5 linked regions of the Oryctolagus cuniculus genome follow. The protein of the gene in region 1 binds, or shares a complex with, the protein of each later gene. Links are inferred from orthologs where the notes say so. Each region holds a gene or a part of one and is shown in the gene's direction. Other genes may lie near its edges.

Evidence for each region.
Region 2: the proteins of RHO (region 1) and GNAT1 are in contact, whole or in part, in a cryo-EM structure (PDB 6OYA), measured with the Bos taurus proteins. The link is inferred for Oryctolagus cuniculus from reciprocal best matches to the Homo sapiens genes RHO and GNAT1. Residues at the interface, in NP_001014890.1 of Bos taurus: Leu72, Arg135, Val138, Val139, Lys141, Ser144, Asn145, Phe146, Arg147, Val230, Ala233, Gln236, Gln237, Ser240, Thr242, Thr243, Lys245, Ala246, Glu249, Val250, Met253, Met257, Asn310, Lys311, Gln312; in NP_851365.1 of Bos taurus: Ala27, Arg28, Asp189, Leu190, Val312, Glu314, Tyr316, Asp333, Ala334, Asp337, Ile340, Lys341, Asn343, Leu344, Lys345, Asp346, Cys347, Gly348, Leu349, Phe350.
Region 3: the proteins of RHO (region 1) and SAG are in contact, whole or in part, in a crystal structure (PDB 4PXF), measured with the Bos taurus proteins. The link is inferred for Oryctolagus cuniculus from reciprocal best matches to the Homo sapiens genes RHO and SAG. Residues at the interface, in NP_001014890.1 of Bos taurus: Arg135, Val138, Val139, Lys141, Leu226, Glu249, Val250, Met253, Met309, Asn310, Lys311, Gln312; in XP_010802144.1 of Bos taurus: Asp71, Ile72, Met75, Gly76, Leu77.
Region 4: the proteins of RHO (region 1) and GNAT3 are in contact, whole or in part, in a crystal structure (PDB 4A4M), measured with the Bos taurus proteins. The link is inferred for Oryctolagus cuniculus from reciprocal best matches to the Homo sapiens genes RHO and GNAT3. Residues at the interface, in NP_001014890.1 of Bos taurus: Leu72, Arg135, Val138, Val139, Lys141, Thr229, Val230, Ala233, Thr242, Thr243, Lys245, Ala246, Glu249, Val250, Asn310, Lys311, Gln312; in NP_001103452.1 of Bos taurus: Ile344, Asn347, Leu348, Lys349, Asp350, Cys351, Gly352, Leu353, Phe354.
Region 5: the proteins of RHO (region 1) and GRK1 are in contact, whole or in part, in a cryo-EM structure (PDB 7MT8), measured with the Bos taurus proteins. The link is inferred for Oryctolagus cuniculus from reciprocal best matches to the Homo sapiens genes RHO and GRK1. Residues at the interface, in NP_001014890.1 of Bos taurus: Lys66, Lys67, Arg69, Thr70, Arg135, Val137, Val138, Val139, Lys141, Ser144, Asn145, Phe146, Arg147, Phe148, Glu150, His152, Leu226, Thr229, Val230, Ala233, Gln236, Gln237, Glu239, Thr243, Ala246, Val250, Met257, Ile305, Tyr306, Met309; in NP_776598.1 of Bos taurus: Leu6, Glu7, Thr8, Val9, Val10, Ser13, Ala14, Ile16, Ala17, Ala18, Arg19, Gly20, Asp23, Ala24, Glu184, Asp185, Trp186, Phe187, Leu188, Asp189, Phe190, Val192, Arg195, Glu200, Gln205, Met206, Lys207, Lys221, Arg222, Thr256.

Annotation. Positions count from the first base shown.
Region 1 is NC_091441.1:114,346,695-114,349,751, reverse strand, and holds the end of RHO (rhodopsin), read left to right. Parts: intron 1-1,104; coding exon 1,105-1,270; intron 1,271-1,398; coding exon 1,399-1,638; intron 1,639-2,300; coding exon 2,301-2,411; 3' UTR 2,412-2,552; downstream 2,553-3,057. UniProt on the Homo sapiens protein: Photoreceptor required for image-forming vision at low light intensity. Required for photoreceptor cell viability after birth.
Region 2 is NC_091441.1:99,122,378-99,126,410, reverse strand, and holds the start of GNAT1 (guanine nucleotide-binding protein G(t) subunit alpha-1), read left to right. Parts: upstream 1-1,226; 5' UTR 1,227-1,368; coding exon 1,369-1,474; intron 1,475-2,283; exon of another isoform or gene 2,284-2,457; intron 2,458-2,595; coding exon 2,596-2,638; intron 2,639-2,740; coding exon 2,741-2,882; intron 2,883-2,985; coding exon 2,986-3,143; intron 3,144-3,233; coding exon 3,234-3,362; intron 3,363-3,504; coding exon 3,505-3,634; intron 3,635-3,735; coding exon 3,736-3,889; intron 3,890-3,975; coding exon 3,976-4,033. UniProt on the Homo sapiens protein: Functions as a signal transducer for the rod photoreceptor RHO. Required for normal RHO-mediated light perception by the retina.
Region 3 is NC_091434.1:6,225,760-6,229,270, reverse strand, and holds part of SAG (S-arrestin), read left to right. Parts: intron 1-1,698; coding exon 1,699-1,836; intron 1,837-3,511. UniProt on the Homo sapiens protein: Binds to photoactivated, phosphorylated RHO and terminates RHO signaling via G-proteins by competing with G-proteins for the same binding site on RHO. May play a role in preventing light-dependent degeneration of retinal photoreceptor cells.
Region 4 is NC_091434.1:145,244,426-145,248,431, reverse strand, and holds the start of GNAT3 (guanine nucleotide-binding protein G(t) subunit alpha-3), read left to right. Parts: upstream 1-1,206; 5' UTR 1,207-1,346; coding exon 1,347-1,464; intron 1,465-4,006. UniProt on the Homo sapiens protein: Guanine nucleotide-binding protein (G protein) alpha subunit playing a prominent role in bitter and sweet taste transduction as well as in umami (monosodium glutamate, monopotassium glutamate, and inosine monophosphate) taste transduction.
Region 5 is NC_091440.1:442,562-446,556, reverse strand, and holds the start of GRK1 (rhodopsin kinase GRK1), read left to right. Parts: upstream 1-1,190; 5' UTR 1,191-1,849; coding exon 1,850-2,548; intron 2,549-3,871; coding exon 3,872-3,995. UniProt on the Homo sapiens protein: Retina-specific kinase involved in the signal turnoff via phosphorylation of rhodopsin (RHO), the G protein- coupled receptor that initiates the phototransduction cascade.

The DNA of each region.
Region 1 (3,057 bases):
CTCCTGGCTCCTGCCATCGGATCAGCGCGGTGCGCCGGCCGCAGCGCGCCGGCCGCGGCGGCCATTGGAGAGTGAACCAACGGCAAAGGAAGACCTTTCTCTCTGTCTCTCTCTCTCACTGTCCACTCTGCCTGTCAAAAAAAAAAAAAAAGATCTCTCTCTGTAACTCTGCCTTTAAAAAAAAAAAAAAAAAAAAAAGAAGTGGAGTAGCAGGACTTGAACCGGCACCCATATGGGATGCTGGCATTCCAAGCAGCTTGTTAATCTGCTGTACCACAGTGCTGGCCCCAAACTACTATTTTTTTCATTCCACGTTCCATGCACTTTTTGGAGTAACCCCAGAGTTGGTGCCACTGCGGCTCCTGGGGACAGGGTCATACCCAACCCCCAGCCAGTCTCCCAAGTAGGTTAAGATAAAGGAAGGTGGCATAGATGGCCATACTGGCTGCTTAGGGGACAGCTCCACATCCCACCCTCCTTTCTTCGGCCTGGGGTCCCCTTCCAGGCCCTGGCTGAATTCGAGCCCTCCCTGCCCTGGCCTCTTTCTCCATCTTCTCCTGGTAGGTGCCCGTCACTGCCTGTTAGTGTGGACGCTGTGTGCTCGGGGTTTTCAGAGGCCAGTCCAATGTCACCAGCGACATGCCCCAGGCACCTCTTGTTTCCTTAGAATCCCCGGGTGGCTCTCTTAGGCCTAGAACATGCTGCTCCCCTGTGGCTTGCAGACCTGGGTTGTCCAACCTGCCTGGAAAGCGGAGCTGGGGGCTTTCCCCTCCTCTCCGCCAACGTCCAAGGGCACTAGCGGCAGGGGCTGTGAAGAGATGCCAGGCAGTTGAGGCAGCAGGGAGATGTTGGGGCGGGCACACAACAGTGCGGGGAGGCTGGGCGGTCTCGCCTGGTGACAGAGCCACCAGGCCGCCAGGCCCACCACAACACGGTTTCCCAGAAATCATCCCACCCTCGGGCCAAGTCAGTCTGTTTACAGGGAGTGGGGAGAAGGGGGGCCGGGAGAGGGGCTAGTGACCAGCCAGTGCATCGGCTGGGCCAATCCCAAGCCCCTCTGTGGGGGGTGGGCAGTCTCCCTGATGAGCCCCGCCCCACGCTCAGGTACATCCCTGAGGGCATGCAGTGCTCGTGCGGAATCGACTACTACACGCTCAAGCCCGAGGTCAACAACGAGTCGTTCGTCATCTATATGTTCGTGGTCCACTTCACCATCCCTTTGATCATCATCTTCTTCTGCTACGGGCAGCTCGTCTTTACCGTCAAGGAGGTACGGTCGGGGCTGGCCTTGCCCCGCAGGCGGTCTAGTCTCCTCCTCTGCCCTCCAGGGCCCCTAGCTGGGTGCTGGGGACAGGTGCTGGGCACCGCAGCCCAGACACCGGCCTTGTGTCCCTGCAGGCAGCTGCCCAGCAGCAGGAGTCGGCCACCACGCAGAAGGCAGAGAAGGAAGTGACCCGCATGGTCATCATCATGGTCATCGCCTTCCTGATCTGCTGGGTGCCCTACGCCAGCGTGGCGTTCTACATCTTCACCCACCAGGGCTCCAACTTCGGGCCCATCTTCATGACCATCCCGGCGTTCTTCGCCAAGAGTTCCTCCATCTACAACCCTGTCATCTACATCATGATGAACAAGCAGGTGCCTGCAGGCTGGGGAGGGGAGGGGGCCTCCCCCGGGGCTCCTGGAGGCCACACCCCCTTCAGCTGGGAGCTTATGAGAAGGGCAGGTTGTTGGGCCCCGCCTTTGAGATTCTGCCTGGCTGGCCTGGCGGAGGCCCAGGACCTTGTTGGGGGTGGGGGGAGGGCCAGTGCTTGCTCATGTGTGAGAAGCACCCCTCACCCTGGTTCTGGACTCTACTTTAAGGCTCACGTGACCTGAGCCTGGGGGTAAGATGGTGCTGGTCTCCGGAAAGCTTAGCAAGGAGCTGAAAGGCTAGAAGCCAGTGGCTTATCTGCGGAAGCCATGAGTGGGGGACCCATGGCCCCTCGAGTCAGGCAGATCGGGTCCTGCATGACCTTGGACAGCTTCATTCCCTTCTTTGGGCTTTGGCGGCCTCAAGCTTAGAAACGGCAGAATCCCGGACTCAGAGGGCGCCCCGCAGTGTCCTCCGTAGCCGAGCCCCTGGGGTTGGCCGCTGGCATCTCTGGGGGCAAGATGTAGATGCAAGGTTGCCCCCAGAGACCCAGACTGGTGCGAGAGGGCCGAGCGGGGAAGGGCGCGGAGGCAGGTCTCGCTGACCACGCCACCCCGGCTCCACACGGCGCGGCCTTGCAGCCTGACCCATGCCTCTTGCCTTCCAGTTCCGGAACTGCATGCTCACCACCATCTGCTGCGGCAAGAACCCACTGGGTGACGACGAGGCCTCTGCCACCGCTTCCAAGACGGAGACCAGCCAGGTGGCCCCGGCCTAAGCGCTGCCAGGGACTCCGTGGCCGACTGTAGGAGTCTCCCATCCCTCACACCCCACCCCCAGCCACAGCCACCCCACCAGGAGCGGCGCCTGTCAGAACCAAGTTTCGCAGGCTCCGTGAGAGGGTTGTTTTCCCCTAAAGAAAAAAAAAATAATGAGAAAAATGATGCTCCCCTCTCAGCGGGGCAGCCCAAGACGAGGCACCCACCGAGACCCCGACCTGGAGTCCCAGGTTCCCAGGGGCCCATGGGACCTGCCTGTTTCCCTCCTCCCCTAACTCATCTCTCAGGAACAAAAGAACTCTTGCTCTCTGGAAAAGTGTCCCAGCTTAGGGCTCAGAATCTAGCACAGAACGGGGCACACAGTAGGTGCTTAATAAATGCTAGATGGAGGAAGGACAGAATGGATGAAGGAGTGAGTGGAGGAATGAATGAAGGGACGAGTGGGCCGGGACAACACACCCGCTGTCTCCAGCTCCCTTGGCGGAAGCAGCTCGCACCTGGCTGACGAGTTGCATAAGTTGTATCTCTCTCCCTGGGGTCCCACTTGCTTCCCCCATAAAATGGGAATCCTCACGCCCTGCCCGGCCTCCTGGCTGCTGTGTGTGTATGTGTGTGTGTGTGCGTGCCCGTGTGAGCTGAAGCGCT
Region 2 (4,033 bases), about 15 Mb from region 1:
GGTTGGGCTTCCAGGACCTGGGAGTGCGGATGGAGCTGAGGATGAAATTGGCACAAATTAAATCATTTCCCGGCCACATCCCCGCTCACCCACCAAGGTGGGTGTGGACACAAGAGCCACTTCCTGTTCGGGGACAGCCCCCAGGGCTCCGTGTCTGGGGCCCTGGCACCCCCTCGTGGTCTCTGCGCCAGTTGAGTCCCAACAGGCAGGCAGCTTCCAGAGGGAGAGGCCAGCCAGGGGGCTCAGGGCCTCTGGGGGGGCCCTTGAGGCCTACATTGGGGTTTCCTGATGGCTGTCGGGGAGTGTCCAGCCTGAAGTGCTCAACAGGGCACCCAAAGTGCCGACAGGAGACAGCAGGGCAGCACCAGACCTGCTCCGGGATTCTGTGTCCCCGTGTGACCACAGGCCCCGCCACCTCTGCAGGTCTGAGACTGTTGTGTCCAAATGCACACGCAGGCGTAGGCATAGGCACTGTGTGCCCCTGTAAACAGCACACACAGGCTCCTTGGCATTCGCGTAGGCATGCACCACACGCGTGAACCCACAGGATACCTTTGCACCTGAAGAGACGCACACAGGTGCCGCCACACACATGCACATCCATGTACTGGCAGGCACAGGACACTCACGTGGAAGAGCCCATGCACTTCACACAGGCATGGGACGTGCACACATGCACCCATGAGTGTACATGTCGTGTCGTTGCCTTGCATGGAGCCACACGCGACCAGGCTTGTGCAGCAGAGTCCGGCGGACGCATGGACGTGTGCGGAGGTCCTGCCCTCTGTGGGGCAGTGCAGTGCTTCCCTTCCTCCTCCTAACTCCCTGCGGGGCTCTGCTCCAAGCCACCTGGCTCTCCACACGCACCACCTGCTGAGTGGCCCTTTGAGCCTCTGCTGGGCAGGTGTAGGTGCCCCACGCCTGCTTCTGCCTCCCTGCCCCCAGGGCTGGAGGACCCGTGCTTCCCTTTTGGAGCGCCAACCCTCTTGAAGGTGTCTCCTTGCTCTGGGGTGGAGGCAGGGCCGTGTCTAGGATCCTTCCTGGAGGGCTGGGGAGGGGACACAGGGGTGCAGAGTCAGCGGTGCAAGGATTGGGGCCACGCCAGCCTGATTAGAAAGGTTGGGGGACTGAGCTGGATTCACCTGTCCTTGTCTCTGATTGGCTCTTGGGCACTCCTAGCCCCCAAATCCCACTAAGCAGCCCCCCCTCCCAGGGCCCCCACAAGTCTGCAGAGAGCCATTTGATTGCCAGTCCCAGGACCAGAAAGGCAGCAGGGGAGGCCAGAGGCTGGCCTGAGCCTGGCTCTTAGGACCCCCTGCGTCCAGAAGAACTGCCTGCCCACTCTGTGCCCTCAGCTGTTGTTGGAACATGGGGGCCGGGGCCAGTGCCGAGGAGAAGCACTCCAGGGAGCTGGAGAAGAAGTTGAAAGAGGACGCGGAGAAGGATGCTCGGACGGTGAAGCTGCTGCTGCTGGGTAGGGCCCCGCGGGGCATCAATGGTGGGGTGGTGGCCTGGGCACAGAGCAGGAACCCTGGCCAGGGCAGGGCACAGGGCAGGAACCCTGGCCACGCATTCCCGGAGGCTGGGCATCCATGGAGAACCTCTCCAGAGGGCCCCGCCTCGGGAAGTTGCCACTCCCCAGGGGTGTGTGCCAAGTTCACTCTGACCCAGTGTGTGCAGAAGGCACACTCTGGTCCCTGCCTGCGCCCTCACACTCCAGCCTTGGGTTTGGTGGGCCTGCTGGGCAGAGCTCAGGAACTAGGGGCCTCACTGGGAGCCCCACATCCAGCTGCTCCCTTGGGAAGGAGGCCACCATCCCCCAGGGAGTAGGGTGACTCCAGGACCATCTGGATTTACAAAAATGGTCCCCAGGTGCCAGGGCAAAGCAGGTGGAGGGGTGTGGAAGGTTAACAAAGCCTAGGCCATGGTTCCATGGATAGTGTAGCGAGGGGAGGTGGGACTGATCCAGGCCTGCCCCAAGGCCACTGCCAATCCCCCACCACCACCACCAAGGGAAAGGACCTGCATTAAGAGAAAGGGGCAGACTCCACCCAGTCAAGCTGGAGGTATCCGTAGAGACCAAGCCGGGTTAGAGGAGGCAGAGAGGCTAAGCCGGAAATCCCATTAACTATGTCCAAGGCCCTCGCGGGGACAGGATCAGAAAGGATGTCAGCTCTGTCCTCTCTCCCACCCAAAGGCGCTAATTCTCTCTGAGCCTCTTGGAGCCCGCCCACCTTCCTTGTGGAGAAAAACAGGGGGTGACCCGGCTCAAATTATCCCGCGCGGGCAGCACCAGAGATGCCCACAAGGTGGCGCTCCAGGATTAGCTTGGTCTCAGCATACTACAGGCGGCAGGTCTCAGAGACCCGCGCGCACAGTGGTCGTCACCGGTCCCCCTCGTAGGCCTCTTTTGCTCACTTTCCTGACATCCACATGCGGCCTTCCACCAGGGCGTCGGTACTTGACTCTGTATCGGGGCGGGGGGGGCGGGTCGGGGTGACTGGGGTCGGCCGGCAGGTCCACCCGTCCACCCCACGCTCGGCGTCGGGACCAGGGGACACTGGGCGCTGCTCTGAGGCATGGCCTCCCTTTCAGGTGCTGGTGAGTCCGGGAAGAGCACCATCGTCAAGCAGATGAAGTGAGTGCCCTCGCCCGGCCTGGGGTCCCGCGGTGGGGATGGGCGCGCGTGCGCCTCACCGCCGGCCCCACAGGCCGCTGACCCTGCTCGCCCTGGCCACAGGATTATCCACCAGGACGGGTACTCTCTGGAAGAGTGCCTGGAGTTCATCGCCATCATCTATGGCAATACGCTACAGTCCATCTTGGCCATCGTGCGCGCCATGACCACACTCAACATCCAGTACGGAGACTCTGCGCGCCAGGTGCGCTGGGAACGGGCGGAGCGGGACTTGGGTGGGGGTGGGGGGCTCGGGGCGCGCGCGGCGGGGCCCTGGTGGCCACCGACGCCTCGCGCCCTGCCCGCAGGACGACGCCCGCAAGCTGATGCACATGGCAGACACCATCGAGGAAGGCACGATGCCCAAGGAGATGTCGGACATCATCCAGCGGCTGTGGAAGGACTCGGGTATCCAGGCCTGCTTCGAGCGCGCCTCCGAGTACCAGCTCAACGACTCGGCGGGCTAGTGAGCGCGGGCGGCTCGGGGCGCGGGCACGGGCGGGCCCTGCCCTGGGGCGCCGCGCCGCCCGCGCGCCCACACGCCGGCTCTCCGCAGCTACCTCTCGGACCTGGAGCGCCTGGTGACCCCGGGCTACGTGCCCACCGAGCAGGACGTGCTGCGCTCGCGAGTCAAGACCACCGGCATCATCGAGACACAGTTCTCCTTCAAGGACCTCAACTTCCGGTACGACGGCGCGGCTGCGCGGAGCGCGGGGCACCGGGCGGCGCTGGGAGGCGCGGGGCGGGGGCGGCGGTGCGCGCGCGGCCCCCGGGGCGCCGAGGCGCGGGCTCAGGCTCCCGCCGCCGCCGGCGCTGTTGCCCCGCAGGATGTTCGACGTGGGCGGGCAGCGCTCGGAGCGCAAGAAGTGGATCCATTGCTTCGAGGGCGTGACCTGCATCATCTTCATCGCGGCGCTCAGCGCCTACGACATGGTGCTGGTGGAGGACGACGAGGTGGTGAGTGCCCGGCGGGGCCCGGGGCCGACGCGGGGGCAGCGCGGAGGCCGCCGCCGGCCCCCCCGGTGCCCGACAGCCGCTGCCCGCCCCGCCCCCCGCAGAACCGCATGCACGAGAGCCTGCACCTGTTCAACAGCATCTGTAACCACCGCTACTTCGCCACCACGTCCATCGTGCTCTTCCTGAACAAGAAGGACGTCTTCTCCGAGAAGATCAAGAAGGCCCACCTCAGCATCTGCTTCCCGGACTACGACGGTGCGCGGCGCGGCGCGGGGCGGCCTCTGGGCGGCGTCCAGGGCCCGCGGTCCGGGCCGGGAGTGAGACCCGCGCGCTCTCCACAGGGCCCAACACCTACGAGGACGCGGGCAACTACATCAAGGTGCAGTTCCTGGAGCTCAA
Region 3 (3,511 bases), on another chromosome or scaffold:
AAAAAATTTACTTATTTGAAAGGCAGAGCACCAGAGAGAGAGAGAGAGAGAGAGAGAGAGAAATTTTCCATCTACTGGTTCACTCCCCAGATGGCCACGATAACTAGATCTGAGCCAGGCTGAAGCCAGGAGCCTGGAACTCCATCTGGGTCTCCTTCCATGGGTGACAGGGGCCTAAGCACATGGACCATTATCTACTGCCTTCCCAGGTGCATGGACAAGGATGGAGCAAAATTGAACAACTGGCACGCCAAGAGGCGATACTGGCATCTCAAGTCGCGGCTTAACCTGCTGTTCCACAATGCTGTCTCCGCATGGCCCTCTTTTAAGTTCTTGGGTGTGTTTGGGGCCAAATGATTCCCAGGAAACTGAAAACCATGCTAAGATCCCCCCACCCCGATCCCCGGCCAGACTTGAGGGGTGACTAGGAGCTGGGCCAGAGCATGCTAGGGAATGTCAGATGAGAGGTCACTCAGAAGGCTGCAGAGCACAACCTGTTGTCCCAGAACCCCACGGTTCCCAAGATGGGCAAGGCCTGCTGCAAACCAGCTGCCACCGAGCACCCAGTCCCAGGGCCGTGGCCCGCTCTTCGGACGAGCTCTGCTGCACGAAAGGCCGGGATCCAGTCCCACCTCCAGGGACCCCTTCCTCCTCCAGTCACCTTTAAACGCAATGTCTGCTTTCGCCAGTGCTTCTGCGCAGTCCAGCTCGTTAAGAGCACAGATGAGAGGATGTGGGCTACCTTGGGCTCCAGCAAAGCTCTGTAAAGAGCTTCCTGTACGCACTGGAGGCAGGATAAACCACAGCTGCTTCGGCGCCTGGGGAGGTCCACGAGGGAAGTCCTTCCCCAGGGAGGCAGTACAAGCTTCCCGCTGTCCGGGAACTGGCTCAGGATGCTGCTCCGGCCGTGTGTGCTGGCCCGCCCCACCTTCTGGCCCGGACAGAGGAGGCAGGGTGTGGTGCGCACAGGCTCTGCAGGGAGAGCCCACACAGCTGTGCGGCCGAGGATGAGCTGCAAGGCTGAGAGGGTGGGCCTGAGCCTCTGGCCTTGACGTGGTGCGTGCATGGATGGGGGGGCCCACTCTCCGTCAGACCTGGCTTCCTGACCCTGGAGATGCTGCCAGACCTGGGGGAGCCCACGCCCATCCCTACCCCCACTAAGGCCCAGGCTCCCTGCCCCCTCTCTCTGTTGTTGGGGAACCCGCAGCCTGCTGAGTGATAGAGGAGATGTGGGGGAGAGTGTGTGCCGCTTTGAGGTGCACACAGGAAGGTCTCCGCCTCACCCTCCTGGGGACCACTCTGATCCCCCAAGAGCAACCGTATTCAGCCCCTGGAGACTCCAGCCTGGGCTTGTTGCTGGCACCCACCAGAAGGCTCTGCAGCCCACTGTGCAGCTCACGACGTCTCAGAGGCTGGCTGTGGCCTCTGGCCTTGCGTGATTGGTTTCAGCCACAGAACACTGTAGACATTCAGTAACCCAGAGCAGGCCAAGAGGCCTGAGGACGCTGCTGGCCTGCCCTGAGGACTCGCGGACGCTGTCTGCTCCACTCCAGGTGGTCCCAAGGCCCCTGATTCCTCTCCCCAGGAAGCCGAGAACGGAACTCGGAGCTTGGAAAAAGCCCCACGGCAAACCAAGTCTCAGAGAGTCGCCGGCGGCTTTTGTGGTTATCAGTCTCCTGTCTGTTCTTCTTCCTGCAGAGACAAAATACTGCCAAGCAACGCCCTGACCAAGACGCTGACGCTGGTGCCCTTGCTGGCCAACAACCGAGAGAGAAGGGGCCTGGCCCTGGACGGGAAGATCAAGCACGAGGACACCAACCTCGCCTCCAGCACCATGTGAGTCCTCGGGCCACCGATGGCCGGGGGCCTGCTCCAGCCAGGCTGGCCGGCTCCGCCCCACTCATCTCCTCACCCTGTGGGCTCACAGGCACACCAGCAGGGCCCCACTCCCGCCCCTGGAACGATGAGGTGTCACACCTGTGGGCTCTGGACGCCACCTTGCCCTGTGCCAATCCCCACTCTGCTGGCTTCCCTCTGGCAGCTCCGGGAAGCTTTGTTCTCCCTTCCACGAAGTGGGGCTGATGGTAGTGCCGATCGCACAATGTGGTGGAAGGGCCAAGGAGCTGCTCCCCAGGCGCTGGCCGCGGCTTTTCTACCACATCGACAGCTGGCATGGTGCCCTGCGTACATAAACTGGGTCATGCAGTTGGCTTCATTCATTCGTTTCCATCAGGAAGGGGAAGGGGGGCAGAGATTAGTCCAGGGAAGATAAACACGGACCTGCGGCTGGGTTCCGGTAGCAGAGCTGGCAAAGGCCGTGCCATGGAGCTCTGAAGTGGGCATCCATGGCTGCTGTTCCCCGCCACCCTGTCAGGCTCCCGTTCACGTGGCAGAGCTGGGGACCCTGAGGGTTCAGGGAAGGAGCCGAGACCCGGGCTCAAAGCCTGCTTGTCCCCCTCTCCCTGGTGACGAGCTGAGGGCTCCCTCCATGGCCCCAGATGACCACCTCTGAGTCTGGTGTGTTTGACTCTGATGACCCCTAGCTCAGTAGCTCACATTCTGCGAGACCAAGGGTGGGGGACGGAAAGCAGGTGAGAGCCAGAGGACTTTCTGGGGACAATCTGCAGGCCATCGTGGTGGGTTCTTGAGCAACGTTTGAGAAGCCGAGAAGAGCGAATGTCAGGGACGCTGACCCCGGGATAAGCTTGTTCAGGGCGGAACCATCCCAACGCGGCGCTGCAGAAGTGCTGCCTGGCTTATGCCCCCGGCTACAGGCCTGTGTGCGCCTCCACACCTTGTGAGAGAGGGGTGTTTATGCTCACTTATGGATCCGGAAGTTGAGGTTGAGCCAGAATGAGGGGCTTACCCAAAGTCACCGGGTCAGTTAGTGGTGGAGAAAAGGTGGCCCCTCCCCAAGTTTCCCACTCTAGGAGGGTGGGGGGCAAGCTCCCTCGGCATCTCAGGCTCATGACAAAGCAGGTCCTGTCCCCAGCCGTTAGGCCCCATTCAGCACAGGTAGCGTCAGCCCCAGGAGAGGGTGGGCTCTCACACCTGCTCCCCTACTTCTGCCTTTGCTGACAACCTCTGTCTACCAAGCACTTGGCCACCGCCCACAATTCCACATGAAGCAATTTCGCCCTCTGATAGGGCTCTCCAGGGTTCTGTGAGCTGCTGGTGGTTCACTGTGCTCTCACTTGGCACGGGCGTGGTGCTGGGTGGTGGGCACATGGAGCTGTCGGGGACAGTCAAGGTCCATCATGATCCCCTTTAACCAGGGCTCTGTGTACCGTGTCTGTGAACAGAGTCCAGGGAAGCGAGGCCCAGTGCTACCTGGCAGGTGTCTGGGAAGGCATCACAAGGCAGAGGTGGGGAGGGGGCTTCCACTTGAGGCCTTAGGGGCAAGAGACAAAGAGGAGAACATTGTGGAGCAGGTGAGTGTTTGGCAAGGTTGGCACATGGGGTTCCTGGGGCAGAATCAGTATGAGATAGCAAAGGCAGGCCAAGGCCAGCT
Region 4 (4,006 bases), on another chromosome or scaffold:
CATAATTTTTAAATATGGAAAAGTAAACAAAGCAGGAATATGTATTTAATCTGGCAGCCTATTTCCTTATTGTATGAACATGCAAAAACCCACCTGTTCAAACTTTGCACATGATCCCACAAGCACAGTACTGACAGCTTGATGGCCTGGCTGTATTTTAGCATTTTGTAGTTCAGCACCTTCACAAATCCTAAAATGCACATTGAAAGACTTATCTCTCCCACAGGTAACCAAATCTGTTTGTTTATAAGGAAAATGGTGATTTTCTATCTAATATGTGTTTTATGGTACATATAAATAAAATAAAAAATGAATTTCAACTTTTTAAAAAACCTGTGCAATATAATATTTGCCCACAAACCTGCAGATTTTCAGGGAGTATGTGATATCTGCTGGGGTGGTTGAAAACTATAATACATATTTAGATGTGTTTATGGTTGTTACTTTTCAGGATGAGCCAAATTACCCACTGTTTCAAAGCACACTGGCTTTTATTCCCTGGGTACCAAATCAATACCAATCCTTCCAGCACTGCAGCTGTTGCCTAATGGCCCCAAAGAGTTAATGTGCTGCCTGCATAGAACACATTTGGGTGTCTACACAAAGTGGGCCCTCAATTAGTGTTGACGGATTGACTTTCTCACAGGCAGTAAAAGCTCAATTTATAGAAATGGATCCCATGAGATTAAAAGCAATCATTTCAGAAAATTGTGTGTTGAATTCTATGTTTGTAATAATACAATATCTATGAATAAAAGAACTATATGTATTTTTCCCATTGTTCTAAGAATGGAGTTTTCTAATTCACTGTTAGATTGTAAGACATTCCCAAGGATTTTAAGTTATAATTCACACATAGGAAGACCACAAAATTTGGATAATTTCACAAAAGTATTCTGATTATGATATAGGAGTGCTTATGAAGAATCTTAAGAGCCAAATATCTGAAGACACAAGCACCATCGACTTTCAGTGAGAATGAATGATTTGATTGCTCACTGCTGGTCATATTGATTGTGTAGATTTTTTACAACGTCCTACGTTATCTTAGGCTCTTGCTAAGGAAGATCTTCATGTTTGTGAAGATGTGCCAGAAGTTACCATTTAATTTGGAAGCATAATTAATTTCCTCTTCAGGATCCAGCATGGCTGGATGGTTTCAGTCCTGGATCAGGTGACAGATCAGAGAGCATCCTCTTAGTCAAAGCAGAATTTTATGACGGAGGGAATGGGCTGTTGGGTACCTCGGCAGACATTACTCTGGCATCCTGCGTCCAGGCCAGAGCTGTGCTCTACATTAGAAAAACTTTGAGCAAATAAAGCCACAAGTATCTTAACGCTGCAGAATGGGAAGTGGAATTAGCTCAGAGAGCAAGGAGTCAGCCAAAAGATCCAAGGAACTGGAGAAAAAGCTCCAAGAAGATGCTGAGCGAGATGCACGAACTGTAAAGTTGCTACTATTAGGTAACAGGTTCTTTTTAATTTTTGCTTTCAAAAATCTGTTTTCCTTCAACTGTGTGTTTACTTTCTTCAAAGTTTAATTTCAAATGTATTACTGTGAAGATTTATTATGAAAATGTGCACTTTATAAATATTTCATAATAATTTTCTGTTTATTATTTCATTACATTTTTATTAAGGAAAGAGATGAATATTTACTAGATGACTCAATTTCTCTGTCAACAATATGATTTACTCTTAGTAAAAAGAAACATTATATATTTGTTATTTTATTGCACCCTGATCATTCCCTGAATGCCATTTTCTAATACTGAAAACAGCTCTCTAATTATGTTATAAAGAACTGTATTATTTGTTTGAGCAGAAATGCTCCATTGTTTTACATCAAAGTTAATATGTTGTTTATTTACTTGTGATGGTAAAATCAATAAGTCTCAAGTTACTTAGATAGTATTCATAAAGTACCTTTATTTATGGTAATAACATGATTCAGACTCCCAAGTGCTGCCTGTGATATTATATGTACTCGTGACAAATACTCCATTTAAATCCTTCTACAGCATTTATAATAGTTATCCTATTCAGGAATTGTCTTTTCTATTTTTTTCCTTCTGTTTTACCACAACTATAAGTTCAATAAGTGATCAAGTAGTCAAAAGAATCAAACTAACCAGAATGCTAAACATTTTCATAAAACATTTAACCTGCCGTGGTACTAAAACAGGCATGCTTTTGCAATAAAATAAATTCTTGCAGAAAGCACAAACTTTAATTAAATTAGAATAGTGTATTTTCCCTGATCTTAGTTATACATATACACAAAAGCACTTCATTTTATTTCAGAGTTGTGAATCTCACACAACAAATTGCCCCATTTCTGAGTGCTCCTTAGCTATGCCAATTTGCTCCCAGTGGCAAAAATGAACAACTGTAGAATCCCCAGCACTTGCTCCTCAAAGGAAAGGGTATGTTCTCCTGTTGATACACAGGTCCTGTGGCCGCACACATGCCCCTAGCATTTGTAGGCTCCCAGCTGGAGTTTAGGGACTTAGAAAGATATTGGGATCAGAGCTTACAGAATCAGCAAATGTGCTTTCTTTAACACTTCAGAGAAGTCTCAAAGGCTCTGATCAAGAGTGAAAATAAAGTAGATATAGATAAAACAAACAAAAGGCATGAGGCAAAGCCAAGCACATCTACAAGAGCCTTTTATATTCTTTTATACTAAGAACAGTGGTTCAAGAGTGGTGCGAAAATACATTAAGAATTCTTGTGTTTGAACAAAATTTTGCAAGAATAACATGGATTCTCATATTCTAATTATCTTCCTTTTTACATTTTCCTTATTATTTCATAAAAATAAAAATAGAAATCCAAAAAGTAGGGAGGCTAATGCTACAATTCAAAGGAAAATATCATTAAATATGCCCAAAGCAATGACTCTGGAGATGAGTATATTAGAATAGCTGGTCCCTTGGAGATTTGATTGTGGAGAGAATAGGTTAAAGAATATGTACACATAACCCAAAATACATAATGCATAGCCAAAAACTGAGTCAAAAATATGCAGTGTAATGATAAAGGAACTGGATTTTTTCCTGAAACTTTGGATTGAGATTCAGAATATTTATCTGGGCTTCCAGAATCAGAAAATTTGCAGCGAATGATGTTGGCCCAATTTATTATAGAAAATACTGTCAGATGAAGCAAGAACCACACCAACTACTTTCGATTTAGGTGGTAGGTTTTGACAAGAAGAAAGAGCAACATTGTACCAGAGATCTAGAAGAATCATATATGTTCTATATGTTCTACTTTCCCAAGATGATCACTGTTTTGTATATCCAGTTTCAACATTATCATATAGTACGCTTACATTTTTTTGGTTCCAACAATATATGTGTTAAAACTCTCAGTCACATGTTTCCCGAATACAAAATGAATCAAATCCTCTTTAATATTTCCTATTTCAGCCAAATATTTTCCCTTCTGGACTCTACTTGACGTCCATGTGTGATAATGATTCAATCATGAGATTCAAAACAGCGAAGGCCTTCAGTGATTCTGCTTCATTGTCATTTTGGACTTGAACTAATGCTCTCTACACTCTCATTTTTAGTTCCAATTTGGCCATAAATGTATATCTGAACCTTTCCACTCCCACACTCAAGTCACCTCACCAATGGAATCTATTTAATCTGCCCCACTATTGAAACAATGTCCTGTCTCACCATTGTGGTCGAAACACCAGTTATTAAGTCTGCCAGTGAGTGTATGTCTCATAGGACAAATCAATTTAATCTTGGTAGTTATCAATTTCTGAATATGGTCCTACATTTACAAAAATGAAAAATCTAGAAACAGCTTCAGCACAATACATTCTTTACAGTGATCCTCATTACCTGATGAATGGGTGCTTAGACACAACACACCAGCTTTCTAAACTCAATGTGTATACACAAGATTTCACTGACTCCAAAGAGCTATCAGATTGCTACTTTCCAAATAAAAGACCCTCTTGCACAGGTTCCTTTCTTATGGCATC
Region 5 (3,995 bases), on another chromosome or scaffold:
GGGTGTTGTCCACCTCAAATATTTGCTCACCAGCCTGCATGCCACTGTGCTTGTTGGGAGGCTGCGGTGGACTCAGTCTGCGGGTTCTCATTTCTGCCTGATTGGCCACTGCGGAGGAGCCCAAGTCCATCTGCAGAACCCACTTCCTCCTGGACTGGCGGGGACTGCACTGTGCCCTGGACCCTGGCTCGGCATGCTGGGGAGTGCTGAGCTGCCTCCCAGCCCCTGCAGCCCCTGCACCTCCCTGCCACCCTCCCCTGTATGGTCACTGAGCTCCACGGACGCCGAACAAGGCAGACAAGGCTGTCCCTCATGGAGCCGGCATTCCTGGTGGTTCTGCCGCCCCTGGGTGTGCCCCAGGTGTGTCTCAGGAGTGGCCCAGGTGCTCAGGTGTGCCCCAGCCGTGTCCTGGGTGTCTCACGTGTGCTCCAGGTGTTCTCCAGGTGTGTCTCATGTGTGCCCCAGGCGTGTCTCACGTGTGCCCCAGGTGTGTCTCAGGAGTGGCCCAGGTGCTCAGGTGTGCCTCAGCTGTGTTCCAGGTGCCCCAGGTGTGCTCCAGGTGTGCCCCAGCCGTGGCCCAGGTGTCTCACGTGTGCCCCAGGTGTGCCCCAGCCGTGGCCCAGGTTTCTCACGTGTGCTCCAGGTGTGCCCCAGCCGTGTCCTGGGTGTCTCATGTGTGCTCCAGGTGTTCTCCAGGTGTGCCTCATGTGTGCCCCAGGCGTGTCTCACGTGTGCCCCAGGTGTGTCTCAGGAGTGGCCCAGGTGCTCAGGTGTGTCTCATGTGTGTTCCAGGTGCCCCAGGTGTGCTCCAGGTGTGCCCCAGCCATGGCCCAGGTGTCTCACGTGTGCCCCAGGTATGCTCCAGGTGTGCCCCAGCCATGGCCCAGGTGTCTCATGTGTGCCCCAGGTGTGCTCCAGGTGTGCCCCAGCCGTGGCCCAGGTGTCTCACGTGTGCCCCAGGTGTGCCCCAGCCGTGGCCCAGGTGTCTCACGTGTGCCCCAGGTGTGTCTCAGGTGTAGCCCAGGTGCTCAGGTGTGCCCCAGCCGTGTTCCAGATGGCTCAGTGGTGCCCCAGATGTGCCTCTGCTGTGTCCTGGGTGTGTGGCCCAGGTATCTCAGGTGTGGCTCAGGTATGGCTCAGGTGTGTCCCTGGCTTCTGTGTTCTCATTGCCTGCTTTGCTCTGTGTGGGCCTCAGCCTGGGGTCACCCCAGGTTCCTCTTCTCCCTGGTTCTTTCTTTCACCTTAGCAAAGCTGCTTCTCTGCAAGTCCCAGGCGAGAAGAAGAAAAGCAATTTGGAGCTGGTGGTCTCGCCTTCAGAACCCCCCCCCCCCAGAAGCTGTTCTCCACATTCCTGTTATTGGCTGGTTTTCCTCTCACTTGCATTTTTCTTAAAACTAGAAATGGAGCATCATGGGGGAAACCAACCAGCCATCGTCACACAGTGAGTTTTCTCTGCAGAAGTGGTCAGTTCCAGCCCAGCTGCTGGGGCCGGGCGGTGGACAGGTCAGCTCAGGATGAATCTCATGCTCCTCCTGGGGGTTTGCCCTTCCTGGGGGAAAACGAAGCCAGGCCCCGAGCTGAAGGTCCGTCTAATCCGCCTCGGAGCGGCTTAGGGGATTGTCTGCACCTGCCGGTGACCCCATGTGTCTCGGTGACCCTGACTGGGATTTAGCCAGTGCTGCGTCAGCCCTGGGTGGCAGGGGCTTCCCAGCAGGTGGCCAGCATCCTCGCCTCAGAGGACATCTCCCTCGTCCTGGGAGGGCAGGAACGGGCCACAGGCCAAGGACAGAGGGTCAGTCCTCAGCTGATGACTCCTTGTGCTTGAAGTGGGCGGGAGGTCAGCGCCAGGATGGATTTCGGAGCCTTGGAGACGGTGGTGGCCAACTCTGCCTTCATCGCCGCCCGGGGCAGTTTCGATGGCAGCATCGCCCCATCCTCCCGGGACAAGAAGTACCTGGCCAAGCTCAAGCTGCCCCCGCTGTCCAAGTGCGAGGGTCTCCGGGCTGGCCTCAGCCTGGAGTTCGACAGCCTGTGCTCGGAGCAGCCCATCGGCAAGCGGCTCTTCCAGCAGTTCCTGGGGACGGACCAGAGGCACGTGCCGGCCCTGGAGCTCTGGAAGGACATTGAGGACTACGACACGGCCGACGACGACCTGCGGCCACAGAAGGCCCGGGCCATCCTGGCCGAGTACCTGGACCCCCAGGCCAAGCTCTTCTGCAGCTTCCTGGATGAGGGGACGGTGGCCAGGGTGAAGGAGGGGCCCGTGGCCAGCCAGGACGGCCTCTTCCAGCCGCTGCTGCAGGCCACCCTGGCACACCTGAGCCAGGCCCCCTTCCAGGAGTACCTGGACAGCCTGTACTTCCTGCGCTTCCTGCAGTGGAAGTGGCTGGAGGCCCAGCCCATCGGGGAGGACTGGTTCCTGGACTTCAGGGTCCTGGGGAAAGGGGGCTTTGGGGAGGTGTCGGCCTGCCAGATGAAGGCCACCGGCAAGATGTACGCCTGCAAGAAGCTGAACAAGAAGCGGCTGAAGAAGAGGAAGGGCTACCAGGTGAGTGGGAGGCAGCCGCGGGCAGGCGGAGGGGACTGGCTGAGGTTCCGGCTGGGGCTCCGGCAGGCGGGGGGATGTGCTGGGGCTCCGGCAGGCGGTGGGGACTGGCTGGGGTTCCGGCTGGGGCTCCGGCAGGCGGGGGGATGTGCTGGGGCTCCGGCAGGCGGGGGGACTGGCTGAGGTTCCGTCTGGGGCTCCGGCAGGCGGGGGGACTGGCTGAGGTTCTGGCTGAGTTTCTGGCTGGGGCTCCGGCAGGCAGAGGGGACTGCCTGAGGTTCCGGCTGGGGTTCCGGCTGGGGCTCCGGCAGGCGGGGGGATGTGCTGGGGCTCCGGCAGGTGGGGGGGACTGGCTGAGGTTCTGGCTGGGGCTCCGGCAGGCAGGGGGATGTGCTGGGGCTCCGGCAGTCGGGGGGACTGGCTGAGGTTCTGGCTGGGGCTCCGGCTGGGGCTCCATCTTGGTGGGAAGCCTGCTGAGATTCGCAGGGGCCCCCGGCTGGCGTGTACATGGGGGCAGCGGGGCCTCGGCAGTGCCGTGGCTGCAACATCAGTCCCACCTGGTCGCTGTACCTTGGGCCGCAAGCTTGTGATCCCGGAGTGAGTGGAAGGGAAGAGCGTTTTCCGGGGGGCTGTCCCCTGGGCTCCTGGCCCCACTCTCGGGAAGCCCCTGCTGAAGGCCCTGCTTTTGCTGCGACAGAGGCACACGAGGACGGCAGGGCTGTGTCCGCCCGGCATCCCGGACCCTCAGGGTGTGCAGGAGTGCTGTTCCCCAAATGCCACTGTTTCCCAGGGACCGGGGTGGTGGGGCCCCTCCTGTTCGACCCCTGCTGTCGCTGGTGTCCATGTCCGTCTGGGCAGGATCAGGGAAAGCTGCTTAGTCTCCTGGCATGGGTGGGGCCGCACAGCAGCCACCTCCGGTGTCTCGGCCCTTGACCCTGAGCCGGAGGTTAGCTGGGGTGTCGGTGGAAGTGACCGTGGCTGCTGTCGGATTCGAGGTGAGGTCAGTGCACGCCCGCTGGCCGTCTGCAGGGAGGGCGTCCCTCCCACACGGGCTCCAGGCACCGTCCCGAGCGCGGGGAGTGGCACGTCACGTTTGCAGTGGCTTGGGAAGAGGCATGGAGAGCGGGGCAAGAGTCTGGCAGGCTGAGCCTCCCCTGGCTGGGCTGAGCAGGACTCCCCAGTGCCCTGTGTGGACGGACGGGCACGCGGGACGCGACTGGAAGGGTTGACAGTCTGGCTTGAAACAGATTCCCTGCGCGCCGGTCTCCATGGCGCCCTCCCGCCCTCGGGCCCGGCGTGAGTTCTCTTCCCGCGTCTGCCTCTCAGGGTGCCATGGTGGAGAAGAAGATTCTAGCAAAAGTGCACAGCCGGTTCATCGTGTCCTTGGCCTACGCGTTTGAAACCAGGACGGACTTGTGCCTGGTGATGACCATCATGAACGGCGGCGACG